4 linked regions of the Alligator mississippiensis genome follow. The protein of the gene in region 2 purifies or fractionates together with the protein of the main gene of each other region. This does not show direct contact. Links are inferred from orthologs where the notes say so. Each region holds a gene or a part of one and is shown on either strand. Other genes may lie near its edges.

Evidence for each region.
Region 1: the proteins of EIF4G1 (region 2) and EIF4B fractionate together in Homo sapiens (co-fractionation; 4 studies listed by BioGRID, with this or other methods). This does not show direct contact. The link is inferred for Alligator mississippiensis from reciprocal best matches to the Homo sapiens genes EIF4G1 and EIF4B.
Region 3: the proteins of EIF4G1 (region 2) and EIF3A purify together in Homo sapiens (affinity purification with western blotting; 4 studies listed by BioGRID, with this or other methods). This does not show direct contact. The link is inferred for Alligator mississippiensis from reciprocal best matches to the Homo sapiens genes EIF4G1 and EIF3A.
Region 4: the proteins of EIF4G1 (region 2) and EIF3G purify together in Homo sapiens (affinity purification with mass spectrometry; 3 studies listed by BioGRID, with this or other methods). This does not show direct contact. The link is inferred for Alligator mississippiensis from reciprocal best matches to the Homo sapiens genes EIF4G1 and EIF3G.

Annotation. Positions count from the first base shown.
Region 1 is NC_081838.1:9,390,375-9,397,804, reverse strand, and holds the start of EIF4B (eukaryotic translation initiation factor 4B), read left to right. Parts: upstream 1-4,423; 5' UTR 4,424-4,490; coding exon of another isoform or gene 4,491-4,503; intron 4,504-7,224; exon of another isoform or gene 7,225-7,241; 5' UTR 7,242-7,329; intron 7,330-7,430. UniProt on the Homo sapiens protein: Required for the binding of mRNA to ribosomes. Functions in close association with EIF4-F and EIF4-A. Binds near the 5'-terminal cap of mRNA in presence of EIF-4F and ATP.
Region 2 is NC_081830.1:83,637,379-83,645,312, reverse strand, and holds the start of EIF4G1 (eukaryotic translation initiation factor 4 gamma 1), read left to right. Parts: upstream 1-4,924; 5' UTR 4,925-5,030; intron 5,031-6,772; 5' UTR 6,773-6,833; intron 6,834-7,934. Other genes in the region: PSMD2 (26S proteasome non-ATPase regulatory subunit 2), read left to right, coding at 101-263, 828-929, 1,035-1,180, 1,513-1,596, 1,880-2,048, 2,465-2,559, 2,655-2,781, 2,961-3,079 and 1 more.
Region 3 is NC_081829.1:87,766,739-87,774,150, reverse strand, and holds the start of EIF3A (eukaryotic translation initiation factor 3 subunit A), read right to left. Parts: upstream 3,009-7,412; 5' UTR 2,929-3,008; coding exon 2,880-2,928; intron 1-2,879. UniProt on the Homo sapiens protein: RNA-binding component of the eukaryotic translation initiation factor 3 (eIF-3) complex, which is required for several steps in the initiation of protein synthesis.
Region 4 is NC_081831.1:22,141,908-22,149,796, forward strand, and holds the start of EIF3G (eukaryotic translation initiation factor 3 subunit G), read right to left. Parts: upstream 3,005-7,889; 5' UTR 2,912-3,004; coding exon 2,892-2,911; intron 2,720-2,891; coding exon 2,670-2,719; intron 1,980-2,669; coding exon 1,860-1,979; intron 1,767-1,859; coding exon 1,678-1,766; intron 1,431-1,677; coding exon 1,371-1,430; intron 1,043-1,370; coding exon 938-1,042; intron 809-937; coding exon 619-808; intron 535-618; coding exon 427-534; intron 251-426; coding exon 114-250; intron 38-113; coding exon 1-37. Other genes in the region: DNMT1 (DNA (cytosine-5)-methyltransferase 1), read right to left, coding at 4,612-4,749, 5,327-5,443, 5,696-5,859, 6,055-6,250, 6,387-6,564, 6,766-6,932, 7,157-7,298, 7,719-7,889. UniProt on the Homo sapiens protein: RNA-binding component of the eukaryotic translation initiation factor 3 (eIF-3) complex, which is required for several steps in the initiation of protein synthesis.

The sequences.
Region 1 (7,430 bases), on a different chromosome or scaffold from region 2:
GCAGACCCTTCAACCACCTTGGACACCCTATTGCTGACCTGAGCATGGCTGCTTTTAGGTAGCAAACCTTTAAAAACCAATTTGAATGGGAAATTGGGGAATGAGAACTCGCCCCAGACTGGACCGGTTAAGTGTGCTTTAAACAGAGACTTCCTATCCCATGACCTGGGTTAGCTTTTGTGACCCCCTTGTTACCTGGGGTTTACTGCTTGTCTCTCCCAGCACTGCCCCCTCTCCCTCCCTCCCTGTCTTTTGTGTTCAAATCACTGTCTCCATTTGCTACCCTGCACAATGCCTGTCCTGTCACAGCATCTGATGAGGTGAGCCTGGGCTCATGAAAACTGGCACTATATAGGTAATACCTACTTTGATTAGTCTGTAAGGTGCAAGTCTACCCTGCCTCCTCCATGTGATGCTGCCATCTCGTGGCAGGAACACTGAGTGAATAGGGCAGCTCCCTGGAAGAAGCACAGGGACTGATACAGTGCAGACAGTCAAAAAGCCTGAGGCTGAATCAATTCAATCTTTGCGGGTTAGTCTAAGCTGCGTAGATTGAACCAAGAAGCAAGTGAACAGACATGCACTGTTGATTCCAGAAATGCAGCCACATGCCTGCAGTGGCCTAGGCCAGAAGCAGGGTGGGGGGCACTAAAGCATCCCTCCCTGCTCAGTTTGAGCAGACAGCTTGGGCCAAGCCCATCCACATTGTGAGGTGGGGTTTATGCAGGAGGTGCAAAGCATCCTGGGATGCTGGGGGACCATGAATTAACTTGAATTGGAGGGGATCTGGGACAGAAGTTCAATAAACTGATTTAACGAAAATCGGTTAAGTCTGATACCACATCCATGCAGGTTTAAACCAGTTTCAGCCATTTCTGAAAGCGGCTTATGTGCATGAACTTCTGTTGTGTTACAGATTTGAACCAGTTTCCAATCCTCTATACCAGCTTATATGTAAATTCTGTTCCTAGCCTATCGACCACCTCCTATGGCTCTGCTCGTACACCAAGGAGGTGTAGAAGCAGCTCTGTGAAGCAGTGACTGGTTGGACAGCTGTCAAGAGAGGTGGCACTGTACCGACACCTAACTAAACACCAAGGGCGCCCATCAGCCCGCTTCGATCAGTTTGTGTCCTGCGTCAGGAGCGCCCTGTGGAAATGCAGGAACATCCTGATGTACAGACACACAAACCTCGAAGTGGTAGACTGCGTTAAAATGGCTTTGAGCAAACTTCAGTCCTACTACCAGAAATTGGTAGCAGAAGACATAGCCAAATCCGCCTGGCAGAGGGACACTCGGCATAGGATCTTTCAAGACCTCCCCAGTGGGAAAACAGACAGTGACAGAGAAGAGGACATCAAGACAACAGGATCAGAAGATAGCAATGAGGGCAGCAGCAGTGACAGCAGCAGCAGGTCCTCCAGCAGAAGCAACAGCGAGTGAACTGAGTTTTAAACCCTGTATTCAGGGACAGGACTAAGAGACAAGGGTTTAAGAGAGAAGATGCCTTGCAGTCGGGTGTACGGGAGCACTATCCTATGGGTGCAGTATATTGTAATGGTTGCGCGGTACCTATGGTGGGTTAAGGAGACAATGATCAGTGACTAGAAGGTGTGTGTGTGTATGTAGATAGATAGATAGATAGATAGATAGATATAAAACCTTTATTATATACAAGACACATATTTTTACCAAAAAAATAATGTTGTCCCTACCCATAGTGACTAGTGAGTAGTTGGAGGTATTCTCCTATGGCTGTCTGTCCTCCTCCATCCACAGGTCCCCGGGGGGTATACGAAAGGGCTGTCCAGGCTGTCTCCGATGCACCAGTCAGGCAGCATCAGCACAACAGGCTCCCTTTCCATGGCCTAAAACAGTGATTCTCAACCAGGGTGTCTTCAGATCCTTTCAAGGGTGCTGCGGGGTGCCATGCAGTGTTAGATGTTCAAACGTGATTCATAAGATGAACCCAGAAATTTAAAATGGGAATTCATAGCATTAAAACCTGTTGTAGTCTCTCTGTTCTTTGCAATGGAAGAATTGCTTTTTTTTTTTGTAGCCAAAAAGCGAGTGAGAACCAGAGCTGCCATCCTCGGAGGGGTGCCTTGAGTCTAATGAGGGGTGGCATGAGTCTAACAAGGTTGACAACCGGCGCCCTAGAGGAAGATATCACATATGATGATGCATATCCCAGTAACAGTGATGGGCACTTTGTGAACGCGGTGAGATGTCAAAGAGCTGGGAATGTAAACAGACCAGACAGGCAGGGGTTGGGGCAACACTGGAGCGAGGGAGTCATTCATGTCTCGATGCCCCCAGGGCAGTGCCCTAACTGCTACACCCTCTTGCCTCCCAATTGCTTTCATACTTGTCCATATATGCCATGAATGTCATAGCATTCATGGCATATATGGACAAGAGCATAGCATAGGCAAATGTTCCTTCCCTATTCCCAGTCCTCGCCCGTGCCTGGAAGATCATCCCTATAGAAAACACCAGCCTCATTTAATCTGCTGGATTATGGGATTATGGCATTTGGGACAGAAAATAACACTTCTTCATTAATATTTTCCACCTACGTACACTGTATCATCATCTCGAAGTATTTCAGTGTGCATCCTAGCCCATTTATCATCATTAACTTTGTTCTTAACCCCATTTTACAGCAAGTCTGGCCCAAAACCAAGAAGGGAGTCGCTGCGAACAGAACGCAGAACAGCCCTGTCCCGTCTCCCTCCTTCAATTGACGTGTGATCACCCCTTATTGCATCCCAGTTTGTTCGGGATAAATCTGCAGCCAGAAAAGGGGCTGATAGAGGTTATTTCTTTCAAAAGAGGACGGGGGTCTTGGACATTGCCAGCTCCTTTAAGGCAGATGGCGAGAACCCGGCGGCGTGCAGCGTTCTGCAGCGGTTGGGCCGAGATGGGGCTGTCCCTTAGCAAAAACCGGACGGCGCCCGGGCATGGGGGACCCGGCCAGAAACCGGGGACCAGGGAAGCAAGGATTACGTGGCTTCCCTCTCACCTCTGCATAGGTAAGGGGGGCCGAATCCAAGAGACAGGCTTCCTTGGGATGGGAGGGATCGGGGAGGCCGGGACGCCTGGGTTCTAGTCCCGTGTAGTCTCAAGGCAATTACACATCGCCCTGCCTCAGTTTCCCCATTCGTAATAATGGGTGCACGAGAAGAGTCAAGCTTGTGTTGCCAGCAGTAATAGTAAGCACAGTCTGGAGAAGTGGGGCCTTTGGAGACTCTTGCTCATAAATAAAAAACGGGGTTGGGCATCTCACGGATGCTCGGGAACAGCGGGCCCACTCCCTGCTGGCATCGAAAGCCCTCATTTTGGGCTGTCATGGTCCAGCCATGAGCTAAGCAGGGCTGGCTGGGCCCGTAGGAAGGTGGAGAGCTGCACACCACAGAGGGGGCCAAATTTGCTTCCAAGCCAGCTGTGAAGCGTCACCCCAGCACCGTGCGGCTCTGCCCCTGAAGCCCCAGTGCGGTGCCAGGGGCAGGGCAGGAGTCGTGCTGCAGCCGGGGCTGCTTTTCGGACGAGGGGTAAAAAACTGTCACGTCCCCTGGCAGCCGATCCCATTCTGCCGGCCATCAGGGGCTGTGGGAAGACTCCCGGTGCCTTGGGGAAGCATTAGCCTTGCCCCCGGGGGATGACCCTTCGCTTCCCGTCCTAAACGGCCGGGCAAAAGCAGGCGAATGTGCCTCCTCCGCAGTGCCAGGAGCTCCACGCTGCACCCCGCGCGGCGCCACGGGCCAACACGGCGTCAGCGAGCCAAGATACGTAGGTCGGCCTGACCGTGCCACAGCGATGCGGCACGCTCGGACGGGGAACGCGGGGCTGGCAAAGCTGAATCCCTGCCCCGCCACCTCCGCTGGCCCAGGAAAGCCACAGCGGGCAGGGGCACGACTGTAGCGGTCCAGTGTGACCGGACTGGTTGCACTGGTGCAGTGAGCCCAGGGTCCGGCAGCCCCCACCCCAGAGCTGGCTGCAGCGCCCTGGGCTCCAGCTGCCCCCTTCCCCCCCTAAACTGCCCCTGGCTGCTCTACTGCCCCCAATCATACCCCTCCCATCCCCAAACTGCTCCTGGCTGCTCTACTGCCCCCATAGCCCTCTCCCCCCCAAAACTGCCCCAGCTGCTCTACTGCCCCCAATCACAGGCCCCCTCCAAACTGCAGTACTGCCCCCAGTCATCCCCAATAACTGCCCTCTGGTGCAATTAGCTGCCCCCTCTCCCAAGATGCCAGGGGAGGGGGGGGGAGGCAGAGAACCCGGCGCGGGCGGCGACGCCAAGCCGAACCCCGCGCCCTCCCTGCCTCTTTGCTGCCCGCCCGCAGCGCGCAGCGCCGCCCGCCTGCCGCGCCCCACAGAGCCGCCGCGCCGAGCCGAGCCGAGGCCCCGCCCCGCGGGCGGGCGGGCGCGCCGCTATAGTCACGTGACGGCCGCATCCGGGTCCTTTGCCTTCTCTGCCTCGGCCCAACATGGCGGCGTCAGGTGAGTGCGGCTCGGCCGCCGCGGCCCAAGGCCCGCGCCCGCCGCCCTACCGGCCCCGCGCCCGGGGGGGGCCCAGCCCCGCGGCCCCCCTTCCCCCCCACACACCCTCGGGGCCGCATCCCCTTCTCCCGGAACGGTTTGGGCTGGCGCCGCGGCCGGTGATTGACGGGGGGGAGGGGGGGCGGAACCCTTGGGCGCGCACTGCGCAGGCGCGGGAGGGGGAGGGGGCGGTGGAGGAGCGGCGCCCACGTGGGCGCGGCCGGGCCCCGCCCCCCCCCGCGTGGCCTGGCCTCGTGGCACCCCGGACCACCCCCCCCCATGTGCACCCCCCCACCGGTCCTCCTTGGTCTCGGGGCCTCCCGTCCCCCCTGCCCCATGCTGGGAGGTCTGCGGGGGTTATCCAAAAAAAACCCCAACCCCTTGAAAAGGTCCCTCAGGGCTGGGAGAGCCTGGAGTCGGCCAAAATAGCCAGTCGCATCTTTGTCCCACGATCTCCTACGCACCATCGGCTTTCACGCTTCCTGGCACTGAGTTTGCACTGCGAAGCGCGGGGTCTACGAAGGTGTCGGGGTCACGCTGCAGCTACCTCGTCTGAGCCCCTCTTATTTTTATATTTTTTTGGAAGAAGAAGAAACTCTCTTGTATCCCTCCCCCCCCCCCAATTGCAGTTTCCCGCTGCATAAGGCTCCCCTGATGTCATTTCATTCGGCGCCCCGAAGAGAAGTGGCAGAGCACGCGTGCTTTGCATTGTGTTTCTTGTGCGCAAGGTGGAACCGGCGCAGGGGAATGACGCTGGGGGCGGGGGGGGGGGGAGTCGAGGCATCAGTGCAACGGATAGGGCCGTTCTCTTCCTTCCCTCAACTGCTGCTAGCGCTCTTTCCCTTTCTGGCCAAAGCGCACGACGTTTTTACTGCAGAAACATTGCTCTCGCTATGTGACGGCAATATCCGGGCGCGTGGATCCAAAGTGCGATTTGCCGGCACTAAAACACCCTTCAGTTCACAGGCGTCATCTGGAGTTCGTGCTGCCAGCGGAACTGTAGAGTCCCATATTTCCTAGCTAACAGCAGAGGCAGGAGATGCACCTCCCTTTTCCCTTGGTGCCTGCACAGGCGTGTTTATAGCTGATCACAGTGTGCGTGTGCATTGGTGGGACCGTCAGAGCAGAAGCTGAAGCCAAACCCAGCCATTAGCTAAAGATCAAGAGGGAAAGGAGAGAGAGAGAGAGAGAAAAAAAGCTCTCGGGGCCCAAAAGCCATGGGCTTAGTATATTGTACGAGTACTGTCATATGGGTCTAGCTGAACCCGGAATATTATTCTCAGGCTTGCTTGGGAAAACTTCATGGGGTGAGTAAAAAATATGTTGCTAGCTTTTCCATTGCTATAGTGAAAGATGAGCATTAGGTTTTATTCCTACTTGGGTCAAGTTGCTCAGTAATTCCTGAATGAGCACTGATAAAAACAGCCCTATGTTTTTGGAAATGCAGGGTGCTCGTAGCAAGTGCCTCTACATCTCGGCGGGAATGGCAGTGTCAAGGAGGTATGGTTGTTGGAGATAACAGTGGGGGAAGTCCAAGGAGGATTTCATTTGACCCATCTCCTTTATCCTTAAGCGTAGATGTTAAGGAAACATCCTGGAAGGGCTTGGCCCTCACAAGATAAATGGGGAGTGGTTGAGAGATGGCTGCCTCCTTGATAGGAGCAAAGAGGATGTTGGCTGTCAGAAAGCCTCACCTGCCTAGGAGGGCTGCTTCTGTCCAGTACCTTTCCTTGCCTTGGTCTCTCCCAGCCCCTACAAGGTTGTGACAGCTTTGGTGATGCATAAGCAGTGCACAGCCTCCTGCAACAGAAGTTGCTTCATACTGTTCCTCTCCTGCCTGTGACTTGTCAGCCATTTGATGCAAATTGAACAAACAGCCAGCCTGCAGGGTTTCTGGAAAGGCGGCTGCTAGTTAGCAGCCCATTTGCCAGGGTTTAGAAAGCCATCTCCGGCACTCGTAGGTCTGGGTGGGAAGGAGGGGGTGTCTGAGCGTGGAACGCACCTTTTAGCTTCTCTTTTCCAGCTGCACTTGCCTGCAGCAGGAGGGTTCTTCAGCTTCCTTTCTCAAGGCAGGCACTGCAGTAGGTCACTGCTGCTGATCAGCCAGTTTTTATCCACTGCTGACGTCATATTTCCATGAGTTTACCCTTGGCAAACTGAACTTTAACCATTCCAGAGGGCTAGCCTGCTCTTCCTTCCCAGCTCTTGGAGGCTGCAGCGCTTTACCGGTGCCTAGATTCCCCGAGAGATGCACCTTTCTAAAAAAAAGCTCTTGCAGCCCCTGTTTGTATTTCTTCAGCAGAGGCTTCCCCATGGCATCCTGGATTGGTGGAACTGCTGCTCCCCAGAGCCTTTTGCAGGAAGGGGAGGCACTTGAGACCATTGCAGTTTTTCTCCTTCACCTTAAGCCAGCTCTTAAGAACCTGGGATGTTTTTTTTCTGGAAGCCTCCAAAGCTGCAGAGTGGGGGCAGCATGTGGCTTCTATGCGACTTCCTTAATGTTCTGCGACTGAAGCAGCTAATGCATCCGCTGAAAACTCCTGAATCTTGCCCCAGGTTGGACATTTCAGTCTGATTTATTTTTAGCTTCATTCATGCAACCAGCAAGACTTCTTAGCAATGCTTGCCATGCTAATGTGTTGCAGGAACTGGGAAGGTAGCAGCAAGGCAGGAAAGATGCTTGGTTTTTCTTTTTTCAGTGCAATAGGAAGATTCTGCCTATACAGTTTGGAGGGGAAAGAAGCATCTAAAGGACTGAATTGTTGCAGAGTCGCACAGACTATAAAGGTGGTTGTTATTTTTACAAATTCTTTATGCCTTAAGCTGATATTGTAAGTGAACTTTGAAACTGCTCCAGCAACAGTGCTTGTGCAGATGTGTAAGGGCCC
Region 2 (7,934 bases):
TTAATCTTGGCCTGGTGGGTACAGGTGCAGCCTCCTTAGGGCTGTGACCAGACAGTGCTGGGACAGTGAGTCTCTGACTGGTGCTCTCTCCTCTGGCCAGGTGGCTGGCGTGACGGCCTTGGCCTGTGGCATGATTGCTGTGGGCTCCTGCAATGGGGACGTCACCTCCACCATTCTCCAGACCATCATGGAGAAGTCTGAGACGGAGCTGAAGGACACTTATGCTCGCTGGTTGCCACTCGGCCTGGGCCTCAACCACCTGGGTACAGCTGGGCAGGCAGGCACTGTCTGCAGGCTGGGGCTGGGCTGGTGAGCCCAGGGGAGGGCTGGGGGTGGCATTGGATCTGGGTGGTGAGCCGGGAGCAGAACATGCCTGGGGCTATGTGGAGTGGGGCGTCCCCTCGAATATAGGGCTGGTGTGGCTGCTCTGCAGGTCCTCCCAACATGCTGGGGTTTACAGAGCAGGAGCTTTTAAGTTACACATGCCATACCTGTTGGTTTGTGGCCTGAATGATGGTTTTGCTCTGCTATACCCCATAATCCCCTGCGGTTGCAAAGGCCCGTGTGATTGGGGTTATGAGGGGGCAGCACTGGGGGAGCTGAGCAGATGTTAAGGGGAGTAGTACCCAGGCAGGTGACAAGGATAGGACAAGGTTGGGGGTGTGGGGTGCTCTGGCTTGCTACAGGCTGCCTAAGGTTAGAGAGGTCCCTCAAGGCGAGCTCAGGTGCCCTTCTGAGGGCCTCCAGCTAGGCACCAGCTCCTGGCACCTGCAGAGTCTGTACCCTTGGGCCTGGCTGCTCTCACAGGCCTTGCTGCTGCCCCGCAGGGAAGGGGGAGGCAATCGAGGCTATCCTGGCGGCGCTGGAGGTGGTGTCGGAGCCCTTCCGTAGCTTTGCCAACACCCTGGTGGACATCTGTGCGTATGCTGGTGAGTCCCAGCCCTGCCCAGCAGTGGTGGAGGTTGAGAGGGGGTCGGCTCCAGGACCCTGCCCCTCCTCATAAGGCCAATCCCATGGGCCTCTCTTACCTACAGGCTCAGGCAATGTGCTGAAGGTGCAGCAGCTGCTCCACATCTGCAGTGAGCACTTTGACTCTAAGGAGAAGGAGGAGGAGAAGGACAAGAAAGACAAGAAGGAGAAGGAGAAGAAAGAAGGCTCAGCTGACATGGGGGCCCACCAGGTGAGGCGGGGCATGCAGGGCTTTTGGCCTTTGTCTGCCCAGGGAAAGGCTTCCAGCAGAATCTGCCTGCTTTGTCCACAGGCAAGGGGGGCATGGCTGGTGTCTATTCTGTTCCCTTGAGCTGGGCAGCCCCAAGGGGCAGCTTAAGCCAGCTGTTGGCATGAAGACCTGGCTTGGCCTGGCCTGGGAGGGCTCTGGAGAGAGCCTTCACCCTGGGATGGGGAGAGGGGCAGAGCTGTTGGCCTACTGGGCCTGGTCAGGCTGGGTGGTTTAGGACCTGGTCCGTGCATGCCTTGGCCAGTGCTCAGCCCGCATGTCCGCCCCCTCTACAGGGTGTGGCTGTGCTGGGCATCGCGCTCATTGCCATGGGGGAAGAGATTGGCGCCGAGATGGCTCTGCGCACCTTCGGCCACCTGGTGAGTGATGGCACTGATGTGGGAAGGGGAGGAGGCTTCACTGCAGAGGGAGGGATGGACCTCACAGGGAGCTCTAGGTGTGGGGCAGGAGAAGACAGGGAGTGCCACCCCTCAGCCTGGCACTGCCTGCTCGTGTTTCCTGGGTGCCCACTGCCTGCTCACATCCCCTCCCAGCACTGCAGAGAACTCTGCTAGTCTTGTGACAGGGACTCCCTGGCATGTGTGAGGGATTCAGGGCCCAGCTTGCCACCAGGCTCTAACGTCTCCATCCCTCCCGACATAGCTGCGGTATGGGGAGCCTACGCTGCGCCGCGCTGTGCCCCTGGCCCTGGCTCTGATCTCCGTCTCCAACCCACGCCTCAACATCCTTGACACCCTCAGCAAGTTCTCACATGATGCTGACCCTGAAGTCTCCTACAACTCCATCTTTGCCATGGGCATGGTGGGCAGTGGTAAGGCCCCTGGCACTGTGCAGGAGGGAACTGGGGGGATGGGGGGGGTGGTTACTGTAGTCTCAGCAGCTGGATGCTGGAGTAGCAGGGCTCTCTTTCAACCTTCCTTTGCCTATCTGTTCCTGATTAGCAGAGCCCCAGTGCCAGCTGGGTCACACTGGGCAGATGCTGCCATCTCATCTCACTGCTGGGGGTGGGTCCTGCCCAGGGTGGAGTGGCAGCTGAGCCTGTCCATGTGTGCATGCAGCTGTACTGCCCTGGGGCCCCTCACTTCTGGATACACAGCCCAGAGTCCTGGTAGACCTCATTCCGGATCACTCGTTGGAGAAGTGGTAGGGATGTGTCTGGCATCTGGTACCCAGGCTGGGGCTTGCAGCCTGTTCCTAGCTTCCTGCTCACCCCTGGTTCCTGTGCAGGCACCAACAATGCCCGGCTGGCAGCGATGCTGAGACAGCTGGCCCAGTACCATGCCAAGGACCCCAACAACCTCTTCATGGTGCGGCTGGCTCAGGTAAGTGCCTGGAGTTGGGTGTCTTGGGGCTCAGAGCCCTGCCCAGGGTGCTGGCCTGGGGCCCCGTCCTAATGCACCTTCCTTTTGCTGAGCAGGGGCTGACTCACCTTGGGAAGGGGACCCTCACCCTGTGTCCATACCACAGTGACCGGCAGCTTATGAGCCAGGTGGCTGTGGCGGGGCTGCTGACTGTGCTTGTATCCTTCCTGGATGTGCGCAACAGTGAGTATGGTGGTCCTTGCCCACAGGGCACTTTTGGGTCTGAGGGAGGGTACCCAGCAGAAGGTTGTGCGTGGCTCAGCCCCTTGCTCTTTACCCTTGATGAGCTGGGTTGTGCTGCTCAGGTGGGTGGGTGGCTTTGGCTGTGTCCTGCAGGCTGTAATGCCCCTGTCTCCCTCCAGTCATCTTGGGCAAGTCACACTATGTCCTGTATGGGCTGGTGGCCGCCATGCAGCCACGAATGCTGGTGACGTTCGATGAGGAATTGCGGCCTCTGCCTGTGTCGGTCAGGGTGGGGCAGGTAAGAAGGCAGTGGGGGAGCTGCTGGGTTCTGAGACTGGAGAGGTGATGGCTTGAGGCTGAGGGCTCCAGGTTGGTGCCATGGGGCTACCTGCAGCCCTAGCAGCACCTGTCTTGGCCTGGGAGACTTGAGCTCGGTTGTGGGTATCTGTGGCTGCCTCCATGTCCTCGATGCTGACCCTCACCCCCTTCTACAGGCTGTGGATGTCGTGGGGCAGGCAGGCAAGCCAAAGACCATCACAGGCTTCCAGACGCACACAACGCCAGTGCTGCTGGCACATGGGGAACGGGCTGAGCTGGCCACAGAGGAGCACATGCCTGTGACGCCCATCCTGGAGGGCTTCGTCATCCTGCGCAAGAACCCCAACTATGATGTCTGAGCCTGGGGCTGGGGTGGGGCAGGGGCTGGAGGGGGGTGGGGAGGGGGAGGGGCAGGGGCATGTGCTCAGCTCCTCGCTGCTGTTTGTTACTGAGGAGCTGGTAGGCAAATAAATCTATGGGAGACATAGGCTGCCAGCTGGTTCCTCCAGGTGGGGTGAGGCAGACCTGGGTGCCTGGGTCCTGGCAGCTGGGGTCGGGTGGCCTGTGCTGGCTGTGGCAGGGGGCTGGCAGGCTCTAGCTGGAACTAGAACCTGGGAGGTAGCTCCGTGCCCAGTGGCTCCCCTGCCTCCTAGCAAGACGCTCGGACTGGAGGCCTGGGGAGACAGCAGCATTTGATGCCAAGTGTGGGGCCTGGCTTGAATTGAATTCCCAGGGCATCTGTCTAGCTCTGGTGCCATCGGGCACCTGTGAGGGAAAGGTGCTGGCTCAGGGCTCCTCCTGGTGCCCCATGCAGGATGTCTCTTTGCACCCTGAATGCCCCTTCCCCCTGCGCAGCAGCTGCCTGCCAGGGGCGGTTTACCCCGATGTGGTGATGACTGACCATTCCTGTCCCAAGCCCCATGTGGCGGCTATTGAGCCTACTCTGCTTTGCCAGGCTCCTCACTTGAGCACAGTAACTAGGCTGAAGGGGACAAGAGGCTGCTGGGCTGATCCTAAACCCTCCTTGCAGGGGGGCTGGGGCTGCTGCCAGGGCTTGGGGGGGGGGGGGGGGGTCGCTGGTACCTGGCTGAAGGTGGGGGCTACAAAGTTGAGCTGAGGGTGAGGCCTAGGGCCAGCCTCGCTCTCTAGTTGCTGCCCCCAGCCCCAGGGCAGTGGGGGCTGCAGCCCTCCCGTGCGCCCTAGGGGTTGCTGCCTTGCTGGCAGATGCTTCCTGCGTGTCCACATCCCTTAGTGCCGCCGGCACCTCATCGGCCCCGGCCGCGCTGATGACTTTAAGCCTTCGCTGCAGGGCTCGTTCCTCGCTCCCAAATGCAGCCAGCTCTGGGGTGGGAAGCGGCCGCTCGTGCCCCTCCCTCTCCCTACCCTTCTTTCTCTATCTCCGTCCACTGCCCTGCAGGGAGCAGGACCCAGCTCCTTGCTGCAGTGGGACCACCGCCGGGTGCTGTTGCGGCTGCCCCCGGCCCTGCGAGGAGCTGCAGGCCCGGTCCGCTGCCCGTCGGGGGCTGGAGGGAGAGGGGCCGACCAGCCCTAGTGCAATGGACGCCAGCCCAGATGCCTCCGGGGCAGAAGACTGAGGGACAGGCCTGCCCTGGGCGCATCCCGCTGGCTCAGGCGGGGGCGGGAGTCGCGCACGTGCCACTCACGTGGGCGCGGGCCGGAAGCGGGGCGCATGACGCGATGACGCCACGTCCCGGAAGGGGCGGGATTTCGGGGCGGGTGTGGGGTTGTCACGTGACGAGGGCCGGTTTCCCCCCAGCGCGGCTTCGGCGGCGCCACCCCGTCCCCCGCCACGTGGCCCGGCCGCGCCGCCCGCCCCGCCCCGCCGCCGCCGCCCGCCGAGCGGTCCGGAAATGGTCGTGCTGCGCTGCGTTGCGGCTGCGTCGGGCCGCGCGGACTGAGCCGGACGGAAGGTACCGGGGCCGCCCCCCTCCCCCACCCCCGCGCCGCACCGGCCCCCCTCTCCTCTACTCCCTGCCGGCCCGGCCGCCCCCACCCCCCCTCGCCACGTGCGGCCCGGCCCGGCCCGCGCCCCCCCTCCCCCCGCGGGGCCCATTGTCCGCGCCCCGCCCCACCCCTCCGCCCCCCCCACGTGCGCGGCCCGGCCCGGCCCGGCCCCACGTGCGCCGCCGCCCGCCCGCCCGCGCCCCATGGCGGCGCCGGCAGTGACACGTGTCCTTGGAGGCCGCGGCCGCCTCGGCCTCGTGCGCGCGGTTCGTCCCCCCCCGCCAAGGGTTAACCCCCCCGGGCGGGTACGAGCCGGCGGCCGGGCCGGGAAGCCCGAGGCCTACAGCCGGGCCCAGCTCCCTCGTGGCGCCGCGGCCTAGTGAGAGCGGAGGCCGGGCCTGTCCCGTGCCCCCTCCCCCGCTTCCCCGGCGCCTCCCCGGCTGTCCCGGGCTGGGGGCTTCCTGGCTGCCCGAGTGGGATGCCTCGGCCCCGGCTCCAAGTCGTGCTCCCTCCTCCCCTGCGCAGACCCGCGGGAGCGGGGGCGCTCGCACCGGGGTCCGTGGCGGGTGGGATTCACCCGCGGGCGGGGGGCTCTGGGCATCCACGGGCCCTTTCGGGGGTGGCGGGGGCAGGCGGCACGTGGCCGCGGTGGGGTGGGTGCGGGGTCGAGCTGCGGCGCTGAGGAAGGGTCGTTCCCCGCGCGGTGCCGGGCCGGGGGCGCTGTGCCCGCCGGCCCCGGGCGTGGGGCGAGGCGGTGGGGCGCAGGGAGCTGGCGCTCTGTGTTTGTTCAGCGGGTGGGCCCGTCTGACGGCGTCCCGTCTTGGCCCAAGGGCAAGGGCCTGGCGGGGGCCGAGAAGGCGGCACTGGCTGCTGGACGCAGCTTGGCAGGCCCCTAGCAGCGCAGGTCGGGGAGGGGCTGGTGCCCAGGGACCCATCTGTGGCTGCCTCGTCTCGCCCGCCGTGGCACGGGCCTGGTGGGGTGTGCCCAGGTGCCGGGCGCTGCGTGGGGACCCCAGTAGACGGGCTCGGGAAGGCGACTGGGGTCCTGCCCCGGGGAGCAGGTGCTCTCCTGGATCGTTTTAGCCCAGGTGCTGCCCTGGCACAGGCTCCCCGTCCTGCCAGCCCAGTGCTTGGTGCAGACCAGTGTGAGCAGGGGCTCCCAGGGGGTGCCCCCTTTTCCACCCCAGGGGCGTTTGCTGCCTTTTCCGCAAGGGGAAATCTATCGTCAGCCCCTCTGCCCTGCTCCAGCTCCCCCAGGGGCCGTGGTGTTCGGGGGCAGCCCCGCGGGGGTCTGTCCGTGCTAGGGGCAGTGTCTAGGCCAGGTGGGGGAGGTCCGGCCTTGCTGCTCGGGAGCAGGGAGCACCAGGCCCGAGGCTGCTCCTCTCCGGCGGGAGTGACTCATGCGTGGAGTTTCGCCGACAGGTCGGGGCAGCGCGGGGAGGCCACATGGCTCGGGCGGGGGTGGGGTTTCGGGCGCTCCCGGCTGCTCCGTCTGCTTGTGTGTGTCTCCGTCTCGGTGCCTCTGCACTGCAGCAGACTGCGATCCGATCCGACACCGCGCTCCTGCCGCCAGGGGGGCGGGGGGCTCTGCCCGGCTGTGCCCATGTTAGGTGCGCGGGGCCCTCCCCGGCGCGGCCCGGCCGGCGGCTTTGCAGCCTCATGGTGTTTCTCTCCTCTTTCTCTCCCATCCTCGCTCTGTCTTTCGAAGCCAGTCGGATGCACGGTCTCTGCAGGCCCGCTCAGCTGGCCCGAGTCTTTCCCGTGGGGGGGTGAGTATGGCCTCGCCCCGCGGCATGGGGGGGGGCTGCGGTGGGTCGGGGATCTGCGTGCCTGGTGGGGGAGGGGACACAGCTGTCTGGGTGCCGGCAGGGGGCTCGGGAGCGGTGTTACAGAGGCAGGATCTCTGCTGGGCTCCAAAGTCCCTTCTTCCAGCAGCAGGCTTGTGCAACCAGCAGCGAATGCACCCCCCACCCCCTGCGTCCGCCTGCCTGGGCGAGGGCTGGGGCCTGGGCACGCACGCTGGGCGCCCCGCCAGCCTGTGGGCATGCACACCAGGCGCCCTGCCAGGGAGCCCTGCCCCAGGCACGTGGGGGAGGGGCTGGGGAGTTGGGGCAGGGGTGAGGTTAATCCCACCTGTGACTTGGCCCCAAGGTTTAGGCTGGGGACAGGGTCATGCCTGTGTGTCTCTGCAGGGGGGCAGCATTGGGCACCTCAGGGGCAGGAGCCAGCTTTTCCCCCCCCGCCTTCCTGCTCCCAGGTGCTGTGATGGGGTGTAAACACCTGGCTGGGTGGCATGCTGTCCTTGGCCAGGGGCTCTTTTCAGTGACCCTGTGGGCTGCTTGGCTGGCTCTCACAGCTTGGGCATCTTCGTGCCGTCCTCTGCCGCGTTCCTCCCGGCTGCAAGGAATTCAGGGGCTCAATCTGAGGCTTGTGGGGTGGGGGGGCAATGTTGGATGCGTGGGCTGGTGTGGTTGTACAGCCCCCCCCACTGTGCCCTTTGCCTGCCCCAGGCAGGTGGCACCAACCCAGCATTTCCCAGAGCCCCTGGCCCGCAGCAGGTGCCAGGCTCTAATGCTGGGGGGGTTTCGGGGCAGGGAGCTTCCCTGCCCACATCCCCTACGCTGTTGTGGGGTAGGAGTTGAGCCTATCCCTCCTGCTGATGTTGCCCACTGGGTCCCCTCCAGGCTCCCTGGGGTGTGTAGGGCTGGGCTGGGGGTGCTTGGCCAGGGCCTGGCTGCCTCCACTGGGAATGCTGAGGCCAGAGCATCGGGTTACAGGCAGCCCCTGTTTGTTTGGGTGCCTGGGCAGCCAGGCCTACTCTGCGTGTGGAGGGGCCCGAAGGCTTTCTGGCCCTGGCCTTAGCAGCAGGG
Region 3 (7,412 bases), on a different chromosome or scaffold from region 2:
GGCAGCATACAGCACTACAAAATTGTTTTGCAAATTTTGCTACACCCTAACATACAATTTAGACTAGGGGTTTTCAACCTTTTGAATCAGTGTACCCCTGGCAGCAGCACCACCCACCACCGCCTCCAGAGAAACAGGGGGGGGAAGCTTGCCCTGCCATTCCCTTCATCTCCCTTCGCCAGTACCCCACACCACTGCCCACTCCAGTGCCATTGGCCTTGCCCCGCTGTTCCTCTGAGGCAGTGGAGCACCACCATAATGGCAGGGATGGAGCAGGGGGGGGCAAAGCCAGCAACACTGGCCTCACTCCGCCCCGTCTCTGCCGTCATGGCGGCGCTCCACACTGATTGGTTAGTGAAACAACCAATCAGAGTGCTTCAAGAGCATTACGGACAGACAGACAGATGGACTAAGCCCTTTATTATATAAGAACTAGCCAACTGCCGCCCGGGGGCAGGGGAGGAGAAACAACACAAAGACAGAGGCCTGCCTGTGTCTGGCTCCCCCAAACCATGTTTCAGGTCCGGCCCTGCTTCCTCCCAACCCTCTAAATCCAGGTCGGTTCCCACCCTACCTCCCCTTCAGGTCTGGGCCCATTTCCCTCCACTCTCCCACCGCTTCCGATCCAAGCCCATTCCCCCCACCCCCACACTCCGGTGCCACTCCCCACCATCCACATGCTCTGGGTCTGCCTGGCCCATGTCCACCTGCCATCCTTCCCCACTCCCTGCCAGCTGTTGGCAGGGCCTGACAACAGTTGGGCGCTGTCACCGTGCCCCTCCCCCCACTGGCTTTTGTCAGGGCCCAGTGACGCACTCCTCGCTGTCATGGTGAGCGGGGACAGAGTCCCGCATTCGGCCCTGCCCTCACTTCTCATTCAGTTGGGGAGAGAGGCAAAGGAGCCTGCTCCCCACACCTTGGCCCCTGCCACTTTGGGGCCAGGCTTGATTCCCGCCCCCTTTAGGGCTGTTGTCAGGTTGTGGCAGCGGCAAGGCGCTGCCACCATGCCCCCCATCCCACTCCCCTCCCTCCCTCTCAGTTTTAGTTGGGGCCCAATAGCTCAAAGCCTCCCTGTGTCCAGCCCTACCCCGCTTCTTGTCCTTGGCACCACTTGAAGGGAGCAGGGCAAGGGACCCAAGGCCAATGGTGCTGGCCTCACCTCCACCACGCTCCATCCAGTCTTTGGTATCACTTGCAGGGAGCTTGCCCTGCTCCCGCCCACCCCAAGCCCAACCTGCCCACCAGAAGAAACTGACACAGCCCCTGGCCCTGAGCCCACAGCAGGCAGCCTGACCTCATCCTGCACACAAATCCAGTGGGACAAATGCCCCCCATGCCTCCCCTGGGGGTGTGCACAGCAGCAGGAAGCTATCCCCCCTCTGCACAGACGAGCCACCTGCAGCTCCACCCTGTGCCCTGCCCTCACTGGGCAGCACCTGTACATGCCCCACTCCCTCCCTACCGTAGCAGCCTCAATATTCCTCCCCCACGGCCCTTTCCCCACCACCCCAGACTTACCAGCAGCAGGCTGCTCTCCAAGCTGCCGGGTTGTGCTCCTGTAAATCAGCTATTTGATTGTTATCAGCCGATATGGCTAGTTAATACATCGGCCATCAGTATCACCCCAAAAAATCTTTATCGGTGCACCCCTAACAACTACTAATACTTAAATTTAAATACTTAATCCTGTAATGGAATATTAGTACTTGACTGTGGATTGTGTTGGTCTTTCCAACTATATCACCTAATGAAGACTATTAGCTATCTAAGACAAGGGGTGTATTTATAACTATTCACAGGATTTTCTAAACAGAACTGCAACTTGGTGGAGGCCCAAATCTAGCCAGAACAGACATTAGGAAAACTAGCAGAGATTATAGCAGCACCCCTGACACGACCACGGACATACTATTTGTCACATAAGCTCTTACCACAACTGTGAGAGGCAAGGGATTTGGGCAGGGAGTGTTATCTTTTATTAGATGAAGAACATGGTGGAGATGGACTTTGACAAGCCTGGAAATGTAGTGTGTTCTCCCACAAATGTTATTAAATCCAGCTCCTTACAGCTCAGGTGTGGGCAGTGACTGAGAGGGGTTTTCTCCAACTATGCTTGGGAAGAAAAAGCACCCTGTGTTTTTATGCGGATCTCAAAAATCGTCACAATTTTGTTTCTTCGGGATTCGATCCCTCTCTAGGGAGTGAAACCATTCGGAAACTGAAGTACAACAATGCGAACACCTCCTTAAGTTTCACTTGATCAAGTACAAACAGTACGCTGTAACGTGCTGTTTTCCGATAGGTTTCAGGTGGAACGTGACATGTCCACTGACAATTAACAACGATTCGATTTTGTGGATAGCCTTGAGAAAGGTCTCCTCTCCTCTGCGGGGCTCCCACACAGCTGCGACCTTCCCTCAAGGCCCTCATTAGGCGAGGAAGGTCTGAGCTGCGGAATTTACACCATTTGCCTCCCCCCCCAACCCGGGTCATGACCCAAACGTGGGTCACGGGGGCAATGCCATGACGAGCCAAACCGTCACCCCCTAAATCCTGCCAACTGCAACCCCGCGAGGTGCCCTGGGGGAAAGGGCTCAAGCGGGTGAGTACAGACAGCACGTGCTCCACGACGTGTCGCCGCTGGAGGACGGCCAGGAGACGGCGATGCAGGATCCTCTTGATCCCTCCCGCCCCGCACGTGGCATTTCCAACCCGCTCCATCAGGGAAGGCCCTTCCGGGGGCAGGCGGGCGGTAACGTGAGGACCGGCCTTGCAACGCCGGCGGGGCGGCGGCGCCTCGTGCCAGGCCTCGGCCTCACGCGGCCCGAGCCGGGGGAGGGGGCCTGAGCCCGGCTGCCGCGGGGCCCGGCCGCACTCACCATTGGCCCGCTTCAGGGCGTTCTCGGGGCGCTGGAAGTAGACCGGCATGATGGCGGCGGCGCGCTCCCCTCAGCGCGGCCTCTCCCCCGCGCGCCCAGCCAGGCAGCCTGCAGGCCGGAAAGGGAGCGCGTCACGTGACCACCCCCGCGCGCTGACGTGTCCGGAAGCGGAAAGCCCGCCCCTTGGCGCCGCGCGCCGGAGTTCGGGCCGATGGGCGGGGCTCCCGTGTGTGCGCCGGCGTCTCAACCAGTGCTTCGTCACTGGTGTTTGCAACAGAATTTTGGGGGGGAGGGGGACACTTTAGGTGGCCCCAAAATATTGCAACAGATTATTTGGGGTGGGTAAGGGCATACTTTAGGTGTCCCCAAAATATTGCAATTTTTGGGGGGGTGAGGGCACATTCTAGGTGGCACCAAAACATTGCAAGGTTTTTTTTGGGATGGGTAAGGGCATACTTTAGGTGTCCCCAAAATATTGCAACAGATTATTTGGGGTGGGTAAGGGCATACTTTAGGTGTCCCCAAAATATTGCAATTTTTTGGGGGGTGAGGGCACATTCTAGGTGGCACCAAAACATTGCAAGGTTTTTTTTGGGATGGGTAAGGGCATACTTTAGGTGTCCCCAAAATATTGCAACAGATTATTTGGGGTGGGTAAGGGCATACTTTAGGTGTCCCCAAAATATTGCAATTTTTTGGGGGGTGAGGGCACATTCTAGGTGGCACCAAAACATTGCAAGGTTTTTTTGGGGGATGGGTAAGGGCATACTTTAGGTGTCCCCAAAATATTGCAACAGATTTTTTTTGGAGGGGAGGGGGACACTTTAGATGGCCCCAAAATATTGCAACAGATTATTTGGGGTGGGTAAGGGCATACTTTAGGTGTCCCCAAAATATTGCAACATTTTTTGGGGGGGGGGGGGGTGAGGGCACATTCTAGGTGGCACTAAAACATTGCAAGGTTTTTTGGGGATGGGTAAGGGCATACTTTAGGTGTCCCCAAAATATTGCAACAGATTTTTGGGGGGGGGGGTGAGGGCACATTTTGGGTGGCACCAAAATGTTGCAAGATTTTTGGGGGGGATGGGTAAGGGCATACTTTAGGTGTCCCCAAAATGTTGCAACAGATTGGAGGGGCACGCTTTAGGTGGCCCCAAAATGTTGCAGTAAATTTTTTTTGGAGGGGGGCACGCTTTAGACAGCCCCCAAATGGTGCAACAGACTTGGGAGGGGGGGCACATTTTAGGAGGCCCCAAAATGTTGCAACAGATTTGTGGGATGTGGGGAAGGTGAAATTTTTGCAAGGAAGTGGCTCTATTGGCATTGACTATTTATTTGATTCCCCCAACGAATATTAAAAAGATCCACGATACAACTGTTGCAGGGTTATATTTACCTGCGTACCTCTAAGGGGTAAGAAGAGGCCCTTGCCCAACAACCCTAAGGCCCCCACTGATTTCAACCCTTTTAGGTTGCAGGATCAGTCCTAATAACAGTGCGCAAAATGGACGATTTTTGGAGGCAGCTCGTTGACGCAGCATGCAACAGCCAAGTCACTCTCAGGGAGTCTTTTTTTATTTAAATTTTCCATGGTCCAAGCCAAATTAGCCAAAACAAATTTCAAATCCAAAAGCCAGTCCAGAACCATAAGCGGCCCTATTGCCAGCAAACATCCTCTACCCCCATCTGGGGCTTCAGATGTTTCCAAAACCTTTGGCGGGCATCCTACTAGATGCCTCTGAGTTTTGCTTGCCCTTAGCCATAGGGCCTTCGGAGCAAGCAAGGGAGGAGACTCCCATTTCCATAAACTGGGTTTAAAGCCGCTGTACCTTGGCGGGTACTGAACCACTCCAAAAGAGCAGAGCATCTCAGGAAAACTGCTTTCTCAGACACATACATGGTATTTCCCCTGCCAGGTTAAGAAGCCATTATGCTTGATCTGAGTCTTCAAGAAGCAATAACCAACTTTCTACTTTGTTGACTGCTGGCCTTCAACTGAAGACACGCTTCAACTTCGATGACCCAGTTCTTACTTGCTCTCTAGAGTGTTACAATGAGCAATATACAGTAAATAAGACTTATTTGCAAACTTATTTGCAAATTTATATGCATATTTTTTTCCGTGTACAATAGTTTTTCATCAAATATGATCATTTTGAGCTTCCAATACTTTTATATTTAAGACCTGGCAACACTGACTGGTGCTGAGTCCCAAGCGCCCCTAGGGGCCATGAAAGGGCACAGATCCCCCTCCGCTGCGGCTGTTAGTGGCTCAGCCCCCAGGCCTGGGGGCAGGTCAAAAGGGGGGTGTGGATGGCATGCATAGGACATCATCCCATAGCACCCAATGCATCTTGCTCTCCGTCCAAGAGGAGCTAGGGGCAAGACTGTTGTCCTGTTCAAGGTACAAGGAGGAGAAGCCGTTGTATTGCAGTGTGCTTCATTTGCTGCATCGGGTATAATGTGTAAAAGCACAAGGCAGGCATGAAGTAGGCCCCCGCTTTGCAGCTCTGAGACAAAAGCACAACAGAGCAGGCAAGACATTCTCAAAGGATGCTGTTTCATTCAACCCCATGTCATGAGACTGAAATGTCCCTCTCTTGCTCAGATACATAAAACCAAGCCTCACCTCGAGCATCTGGGCAGCACCTTCTCTGCTTGGTGCCAAGTTATTTCCATCCCTGACTTCATGTTTCCAGCTAAACACAGTCTGCAGGGCTGTGAAACAGGAGCTACAGGAGCAGCTGAGAGCAGAATTGCAGAAGAAAGAATAGCTTGGTTAGGGAACCATCAAGACCATTATGAAGGAGAGAGGGTCGTTAACACTTGTGGAATGAAGAGTTCAGAACAGATTTGGTAGACTACAGTGGTTGTCAACTGGGGGTACATATACCCCTAGAGATACTTAAAAAGGTCGTACAGAGTATGCAGAACAAATGAGAAAAAATTACTGTTTTAAAATTATTAACTTTATTGCATTTAATTTGATCTAATAAGCGTACATTTTATCAAATAAGTGCAGCTGCCCCAGGAGTACTGCAATGCCATGTGCCTGGGCCGCACTGCTCCCTCTGCCCACCCCCTGCCCACCATGCACATGGCGTCACACAGCTCCAGGGGCAGCTGCAGTGTACACAAAGCTCAGCGCACAGTGGCTGCCACCTCCACCCCACACAGATCTGAGGGCACATACCCCCCCAGGCCTCCGCCGGGGTGTGTGCAGCAGCAGGAGCCCCCCTATGCCCCTGCACAAGCTGCCCAGGCTCTGATTGTCCCACCACCCAGCCTGGCTGGGGCCCCATTCACCCCAGCCCCTGTCTGTGCCCCAATCCCTCCCTTACCACGGGGGCTCAATCTGCACCCCCCTTCCCCCAGCCTTTTCCCCTCCCCGACAGGCTTACTACTGGTGGGACATGTGCATGCATGCACACGCACGCTCAGTCTCCCCAAATAATTTTTTCTCCCTCTGCATTTAATGTTAATTAGTGTAGCCTTATATCTGCCTGAAACTTTGAGACAGAAGGGGTACACTAGATAAAAAGGGTTGAAAACCCCTGTGGTAGATTATAATGAGCCAGGAAGTCAACTGACTCCCTCAGCACTGCCTGAATAGAAATGCTGTTGCCACTGCCAAACAGTTCATTTTGAACTTTGGGTGGAGCAGGATTCAAAGGCGGGTGCAACTGCACCATTGCGCCTCCTCCCTGGATCTGCCCTTGTCTGCCTCAGACTCATATCACACAAGCTGCATGATACTGAGTCAATAGTTGGTGTAATAAATTGATGTCTTCTCTTCTCACTTTACTTTGCAACCTGGACAGTTGCATTAAAGCTGACATGTCAAACTCACCTGGCCCTGAAGGCTATCCATGGTGTAAGGTCACACTGGGCCAGATGAAGGCTATCCATGGTGTGGGTCCCCCCATGACGCTCGCTCCAACTGGTCTAGAACTGCACCACACCTGGCACCAGATCTGGCCAGATTGGCTCATGAGTTGCAAATGGTGCCCACTCCAGCCAGTCCAGGGAGGATGCTGCATGCATAGTGGGTCCCAGACTGGCTGGAGCATCCACCAGATCTAGCATGCAGGGGGACCCACCCTCTCCCCCTCCCCACCCCATACCAGATCAAGCACCTGCTCTGGCTGGTCTGGGACTGCGTCACACATGGAGCCCACTCCAGGACTTGCACTGTGCATGGCACCTGGCCCAGACTGGCTGGAGTGGGCACCATGTGTGGCTTGCATCCCAGATCAGTCAGAGTGGGTGCCACAGGCACTGGATCTGGGATGCAGGGGGGAGGAGGGTCCTGGATTTGCTCCATGTGGGGCCAGCACCAGAGACCAAGTGATGTGGCTCTGCAGGCTGTTTCTTTGACACCCCTGCTTTAAATGATTTTCCTGCACTACATTATTTAAACCATTATCATGAAAAAAATCTATTGTACATATCTCCACTGATGTCATGTGGGGAGGCTTTGCCTGATATATTGTATTGGGTGTGGTCTGAAGTGCTTGTGCATTGCTGCTTTCT
Region 4 (7,889 bases), on a different chromosome or scaffold from region 2:
CATCCTCCCGCCGGTGGAAGCTGATGAAGGCAAAGCCCTGGGTGAAAAGCCCATGGTTAGAGCTGAACTGAGCCAAGCCCTTCCCTACCACCCCAGAGGGCCTCTTGCTGCACCTTGGACTGCCCAGTGGCCTTGTCCTTAGCCAGATAGATCCTGGAAATGGAGCCGAAAGGGCGGAACAGCTCCTGCAGATCCGTCTCGCGTGTGTCTTCAGACAGGTTAGTGACACGGATGGTGGCATTGTCATCAGCTGCAAAGAGAGGAGAGTCAGGGCCAGGCCCAGGCGATGGGAATGAGCCCCCAGGACAGAGTTTCCCTGCTGGGCAAAGAACTGCCAGGATGGAGCTCAAACCGAGGCAGGAAGCAGGACCCAGGCATCCGAGTCAGGGCCAGGAGGGGCCCATAGGTCTGATTACCAGGACTTACCCCTGCGGTTGGGTTGCATGGACTCCCCACGGCGGCAGGCCCCATCCCTCAGGCTGGGTGGGACATACTTCCCCGTCTTGCTCTGTGCTGCCTGCACTGGCTCTGGCTCTACAAGGGCAGGGAAGCAAAGTTAGAAGAGCCCAGAGCCTCTGGGACCCGAACCCCTAAACCCCACTGCCCCCACCCCCAAACCTCCAGGCAGCTTCTCCTTCTCGCCAGTGGACAGCCCCAGCTGCTCAGCCAGTTCCTTCTGCATAGGCCCCAGTGTGTCTTTGTAGGGGCAACGTGTGGTCCAATGGTCGCCCTTGCAGATGCGGCATGATACAATCTTCTGGCCCTTCAGCTTGTTCATGGGGTCTTCCTCCTCTTGGCAGTTCAGGTCCTGCAGCAGGCGTGGGGGAATCAGCATTGGAACTACTCCTCTGCAGGGAGCTCCCAAGCCCCCACCAGAGCAGCTGGATGCCCATGGTCCCTCCCCCTGCCCTAGGACCCCACCCCAACCCTTACTCACCTCCTTGCTAGTGATGAAAGTCATGAAGACATCGTCGCTCACAGTTGTTGTGGCGATGCTGGGGCCAGGCGCATCAAATTCTGAGTTGCCAAACTTCTTCCAGTTCTGGGAGAGGCAGGCAGGGGAGGTGTCAAGCTGGGAAATCCTTCCACCTCATCCCACCCAGCTAACTGGGAGACTGGGCAGAAGTGCCCCCTGGTGGCATCTGTTAAATGTAACAGGCTCAACCCAAACCAGAAGCAGCCCTGGGCGTGGGGGCAGAGATGCCACCAAAAAGGGAGGAAATGGACATGGACAGATGTGGGAGGGAAAAGGGAGCAAGGCAGGACAAGCAGCTTGGGTATGTGAAAGGCCCAGTCCCGTCTCATTCCAACCCTCCAATGCCCACCCCCTCCATTTTAACCCCTCTTGCCCCAGCAAGGAGCCCACTCACCTTGCGGCGGGCCACGGCCTTAGAAGCCTTCCTAGTCTCAATACGGAAGGTACGGATGATCTGAGGGAGAAAGACCCCATCACTCACCATATGAGAAATGAGGGGGGTAGCATTCACCCCAAGGACACAGGGAGTGCCCCACCAGCATGACTGCCCCCACATGCAGGATACAGGAGCAGTGGACACAAGGGCCACGACCCATCACACACTTTCTAACATGCCCCTCATGGCTCAGGCTGGGGGAATCTTGCCCCAGCCAGGGAAAAAGTCCCCAAGACAGCCCCAGCCTAACCCCTCCAGCACTCACCTTCACCTTGCGCCCATCCTCCTCCTCACGGTACTCAGTGATAGTTTTGATGTTCCCATTGATTAGCTCCTTTGGGGATGGAAGAGGACCTAAGGGGACAGGGCAGGCAGTGAGATGACTGGATCCATGGGGCTCCCTGGGGCAGTGCCCAATCCCCACTCCTCAGCCAGCCTGGCTCTTACCATCTTTCAGCAGCTCTGACTCGGCCTTGGCCTCTGCCTCAGCAACACTGGCACCCAGGTCCCCACCCAGCACCGCAGTGAGGGGGATGTCCTTGAGCAGCTCGCTGGTGATGCATTTGTCTGGGGAAGAGGAGCAGGGCTAGACCTTGCTAGTCAGTCACTTATTGGGGGAAGGAACAGGGAACTCTTATGGGCTAGGGCCAGGGTGCCACAATGCTACCCAGCGCCAGGTGTGCTCATGCCCCATCCCTGGAGATCCTACAGGGTGCCACTGCAATAACAGGAACTCTTAGCTCTGTGGGGCTTGGGGTGCCCTAGTAACAGGATCTACCCCCCCTACCCCCCCAGGTCTCAACAAGCTACAAAAATGCAGGCTGCCCAGGAAATAAGTTGGAGGGAAGCAGAGAGTGGGTCTGAGGGGAGGGGATTATCACCCCCCAGCAGGTCACCTGTACTGTGGGACCACCACCAGATCAGATAAGGGGCCTGGGGTGGGGGCTGTGTGTTGTGGGGGCAAGGGTTCTTGCCCTGTCACAGGGACGGGCCATGAGCCAGGGCAGGGGCAGGCACCCAGCTTCCTCGATGGGCCTTAGAGCAACACACGGGCCCTTGGGCTAGGCTGGAACCTGACCAGCACTAGGAGACTGCGAGGCCAGATGCAAAGGAGCCGGGGATCCCAATGACCGAAGGTGTCTGCTGGGGGAGGGGGAGGTGGAGTCGGCCCACAGCCCCGTGGGGGGGTCCGCGCCGGGGGGAGGAGAATGTGCGGGGGGAAAGGGAGGGGAGTCCAGCCCGGGTGCAGCCTCTCACCGTCGTCGCCTCCCTCCTCCTCCACTTGGTCGGCCCAGCTAGGCTTCGAGCTGCGGGAGCGAGAGTTAGAGCCGCGCGGACACGATCCTCCGGCCTCCCCGCTCCCACCCCATACTAGGCCACCGCACCCCCCACATCTCCCTCAACCCCCAGCCCCTCCCTCATTTCCGCCCCAGGCCCAACCCCGGACCCCGGGCCCAGCCCGCACCCCGCCCGTCTCACTCGTAGTCTCCCGTCGGCATCGCGCGCCCTGTGCAGCAGCAGCAGCAATAGCCGCCGCCGAACGCCTCGCGCCACAAACCGGAAGCAGAAGGGCCTCACCAGCGAGCACTGCCCACGCTCCTAGAGAGGCCGGAAGGAGATAGGGGAGGAATCACCGCGGCAGCCTTGGGAGCTGAGGGGCCTGCAGGAACTGCCGGATTCTCGCAGTGCGCTCTGGGAAGTGTAGTCCTGAAGGATCTCACGCTTACTAGCATCCGACCCCGGGGTCGCAATGCATTCTGGGAACTGGAGCACCGCACCCGGGCCACGCTGCATACTGGGAGCTGTAGTTCTCTCCCCCGCGCGTTGGCAGGCCTCGTGGTCAGGCCAGGTTCCGCCCCAGCTTCAGCCCACGTGAATGTTATTTTCCACGGCACGAAAGGGTTAAAGGGGGGTGGGGGCAGGCTCAGGGCCCAGCCAGCACAAACCAGGAGCCGGGGCTACTGGGAACCTCAGGAGGCAACTGCAGCCCAGGGCAGAGCTAGAGCCAGGCCCGGGGCAACAGCTGGAACCACCCCGAGGTGCAGGCAAGTCCTGACCCCTGCAGAGGATTTTTTAAGGGGTTCTGAAAGAGGGCATCGTGCCTAGAACGGGAAGTGTCATCGGATCCCTGCGTAAGTTCACTGTGCACTCAGTTCTTGTCCCAGCACCTCAAATACGAGATAGAAGGGCAGTAAGCATGAGAGGTCTGGAGGGACTGCGTTGTGAGGGCAGACTCAGGAGGCTAGGCCTGCTCACTTGGGGGGGGGGGGGGGTGTACTGGGATCATCTTCAGCAGACAGAAACAAGGGGTCACAATGCGAAACGAGCCGCTTGCAAGTTTAAAACTAACAAGTACTTTTCCACCCAACATGTCATGAAAGGGTGGGACTTGTTGCCAACACATGCAGCAGAAGCTGACAGTTTAGCTGAGCTTCACAAGGGGCGATATCCTTGGAGGAAAGGGGCATTGATCGCTATTGAACCCAAGAGCAACTGGCACAGCCTCTGAATCAGACCTTCCTGGACCTTAATGCTGGAGGCTACAAGAAAGCAACAGTGGAAAAAGACCCTGGTCAGACCTGCTCACCCCCACCTTCCAGCCTTTGCTTGCTGTATGACAGGATACTGGGTAAGATGGACCTGTGGTCTGACCCAGTAAACAGCAGTTATGTTCTTATAGAGACTTGGGGGTGGTTTTGCCCTGCACCCTGCAAGAGCTGGAGGAACATCCCTTCTGCTAGCAGCTCCATGGCACCCACTATGGCCAGAAAGGAGGTTGTAGCCCAGAAGCTGTCTTCAGCAGCACAGCCTAGAGCCAGCATTGCCCCCCAACTTGGAGTCAGGCCCCAGCCTCCTCCACAGGGCTGGGAGATGCTGAGAAAAACCAGGGGGGGAGAGAAGAAGAGAGCTCTCCCCAGCATGTAATTTATAGGAGAGATTTATTTGAAGAAATATTACAACATATAAAAACTACATAAAGTATTAATTTCCACTTGTATAAAGTGGTCGATTATTTTCAATACAAGGCATAATAAAAACATCATCCTTTAAATCCAGAATGCACAGGAGGCGGGGCGGGGGGGGCACTGCACAGCTGATCACTAAAATGATGATTAGTTGAGAACGCAACTGTCACAGACAGCCCTTGAGCTTGGCCGGGGAGACGAACACTGCTCACGGGTACAGCTGAACAACAGACTCAGCATGTCGGACCAAAACAAGGAACAGAACAAAACGAAACAAAAATCAGTGCATGTTTGGGAGTCCTGGAGCTGGAGAAGGAGATGGGAGGGCAAGTGTCAGTCCGCAATTTCCATCTTCTCCACTTTGCTGCTCTCTGTGGAAAGAGGTCAGGCCAGTGAGGCAGCAGGTGAGGCCTGGGCATGGCCACCACCAGGGACTGGCTCTGGTGCCAGCCAGCCCCCCTAACCCCTCAAGCCTGGAGTTTGAAAAGTCTTTCCTCTGGTCTGGGGCTTCTAAGGGACCTGTAATTTTGTGGGCAGACCTGGAAGCTACAGTCCTGCCCTCAGAGAACATGGACAGCAGCTGCAAAGTTTTATGGCCACCCACCCAAGCCCGGGGGCCACCCACCCAAGCCCAGGGGTGTTCCCCCTCAACCCAGTGCTGCATGTACCCATGGCTTCCTCTTTCATCTTGGCCAACCGGCACATCTTGATCTCCAGTCCGATGGCCTTGGCTAGTGGTGGAGGCACTGCATTACCAACCTGTAAAGAGGAATGTGGGACTGTGAGCTCACCCACACCCTGCCCTGCCTGCAGTTCTGGTGCCTGAGGCTGCTGCAGCAGCAGCTCAGCTGTCCTAGTGTCAGTAGCCACTCGGCAACTGTGTCCCTGACAACCTTTGCAGGGGGCAGGGGCACAACACCGTGGGGAGGGAGAATCTGAGGCACCCACCTGTCTGTGCTTGTCAAGGATGTTCCCGAACAGTCTGTAGGTGTCAGGAAAGCCCTGGGACCGTGCACACTCCCGCACGCTCACCACGCGGTGCTGCTCAGGGTGTAGCACACGGCCCTGTGGGGGGATGGGAGACAGGGGTCAGCCACAAGGCAGGCAGCCCTGGAGCCAGGGCTGTGGAGGAGAGGTACTGCACCTTGCCCAGCAGCACCTGCCCCTGTGCAAATTGCCCTGTGGTCACCCCAGGGCAAGGGCCAAGGCCTGGAGGCCTCCTGCTGCATTCATGGGCCATGGAAGGGCAATTCTCAGCCCCACAGGGACTACATCCGTCTCTCCCACCCTTGCTTGCCCAGGTACCACCATACGCACCTGCTTGCCCATGGGTTCGGGGTTGGTGACCGTGGTGCTGAAGAAGCCATCCCACTCAAGGCGCCCATACAGCCCGGCCCAGTGATTGTGCCTGTTGCCCGTGTGGGGCAGACACCAAGGGATGAGCGTGTTGAACTGCCGGTCCGCAGAGTCACAAGGCTTCCCTGGGAGGTGGAAAAGCAGCACATACTTGGGTTGGGCTACCTAAGGCAGAGGGCACAGACACCTGCAGAAAACCAGGGAGTAGCCCTTGTCCCTGCCAAGCAGCCTCTAAGCCAAGATAGGCCTCCTGCACCTGCCCCTAAGCCAAGATGGGCATGGGGCCAGAGCCCCGTCTGCTTTTTGCCCACCCCCAGTACCTTCGGCACAGGAGCAGACACCCCGCAGTGCGCCGGTGCTGCTGCGCCCATTCTTCCTCTCGTGGTGCGTGTAGCGCAGCTTGCGGGTGCTGGTGCCGTCCGACAGCCGTACCTCGATGTTGGGCAGGTCACGCCAGTCTGAGCCAGGTGCCAGGGGGATGTGCCTCATTCGAGCTGCTACCAGTGCACTCATGTCCTGCAGCAGCGAGTTCGAGCCCCGTTACCTCCCTGCAGCCTGACACTAGCTGCCCAGCACCATCCCACACAGGGCTTCTGGTCTGAGTGACCCCCAGACACTGCCCCACAACCACAGCTACCCAAAAAGTCCTCACCTTGCAGATGTGGTCCCTGAGGATGGGCTGATATTGAGAGCCCCGGATCTGCCGCTGGAACCAGGACTGGGGCTCCCCATTGTATGAGATCTCTAGTGCTGAGGCCCCGTTCCTGATCTCGGGCAGGTCAGACATGGTGTCCCGGACCGTGATGGTGCGGAAGGGGCCAGAGTACGTCCTGTGGCGGAGGGGTTGAGGGGCCAGTCAGGCAACCAGTCATGGCCTAACTGCCCTCAGCCCCACAACTCTGACTTGGGGAAGGTGCCATGCTATGGACCTGCCATGCCCTTCCCTGGATATCCAGGGAAATCAGGAGCATCTGCACTGGTTCCATGGGCCCCATCCCACTCCACCCGCCCCCATGGCTACCCACATTCACCTGGTGATATTGCTCACAAACTTCTTGTCATCCACCACAACACTGAGCTGGCAGGCACGGGGCGCAAACACATGCAGTGGCTCAGGGAACATAGGCAGCTTCTCTCCGGGGGCCGCAGCCAAGACAATGGCTCTCCGGCGCGTCTGGGCCACACCATACTGGCCGGCCTGTGGGGAGGGGGCATCCAGAGCCAGCTCCAGCAGGGCATTGGGCTCTTCCACCCCTACACATCACACCCACTCACCCCCTAGGGAAGCAGGTGCCTGAGTGGACACATGACATCTCCACCCAAGCCTACGCCCCAAGCAGAAGGGCCTCGAACCTGACAGAGCCTCTACCCAGGGCAGCCTCATGGAGCCCTGCCAGTGCTGCTCAGGCCCCAGACTCCTACCTGCAGCACGCCGAAGGTGCACTGGTAGCCCATGCGCACGAGGCAGCGTAGCGTGAGCTTGAGCACCATGGAGCGCTTGAAGGAAACAAAGTTGCGCACATTCTCCAGCAGGAAGAAGCGGGGCCGGTAGTAGTCACAGTAGCTGTAGGGACAGGTGGGAGCAGGGACAGTGCAGCAGGGAGACTGGGCCGGGACCCATGACCAGTGAGTAGCCTCACCTGCCCCCACACCCTGCCACCCCCCAAGCACCTCTGGGCTCATACAGTGCCAGGGACCCTTACAACACCAAGGGGTCCAGCTCAGTTGTTATACAGGAGGCCCCAGGGCGGTGCTAGGCCATGGGTGCAATGTGCAGGGGCTAGGGCCATGGGGCTCTCCCCAGGCCAAGCTCTCATGTCACATGGACCTTCCCGTGCTGCAGACTCAGATGCACTGCTGGCAGCTGTGCTGGGACTGCGAGGGACATGCTACATCTGTCCCCTTCCAGCCTCTCTCGGGCTGGAGCTTGGAGACTCCTTCCTCCCATCCACCTCACCCCAGGAGAGCCTCAGTGCCCCCCCACCTGAGGAAGGAGACAACAAGGGAATTCTTGAACTTGGAGTAGGTGCGGGAGTTGAAGCGGTTCATGCCGCTGAAGCCCTGGCAGGGGGGGCCACCACACAGTAGTTCCACATCGCCTTTCTGTGGCAGCTTCTGGCCCAGAGTGTTGGTCTTCTCGCCGGCCATCACCAGC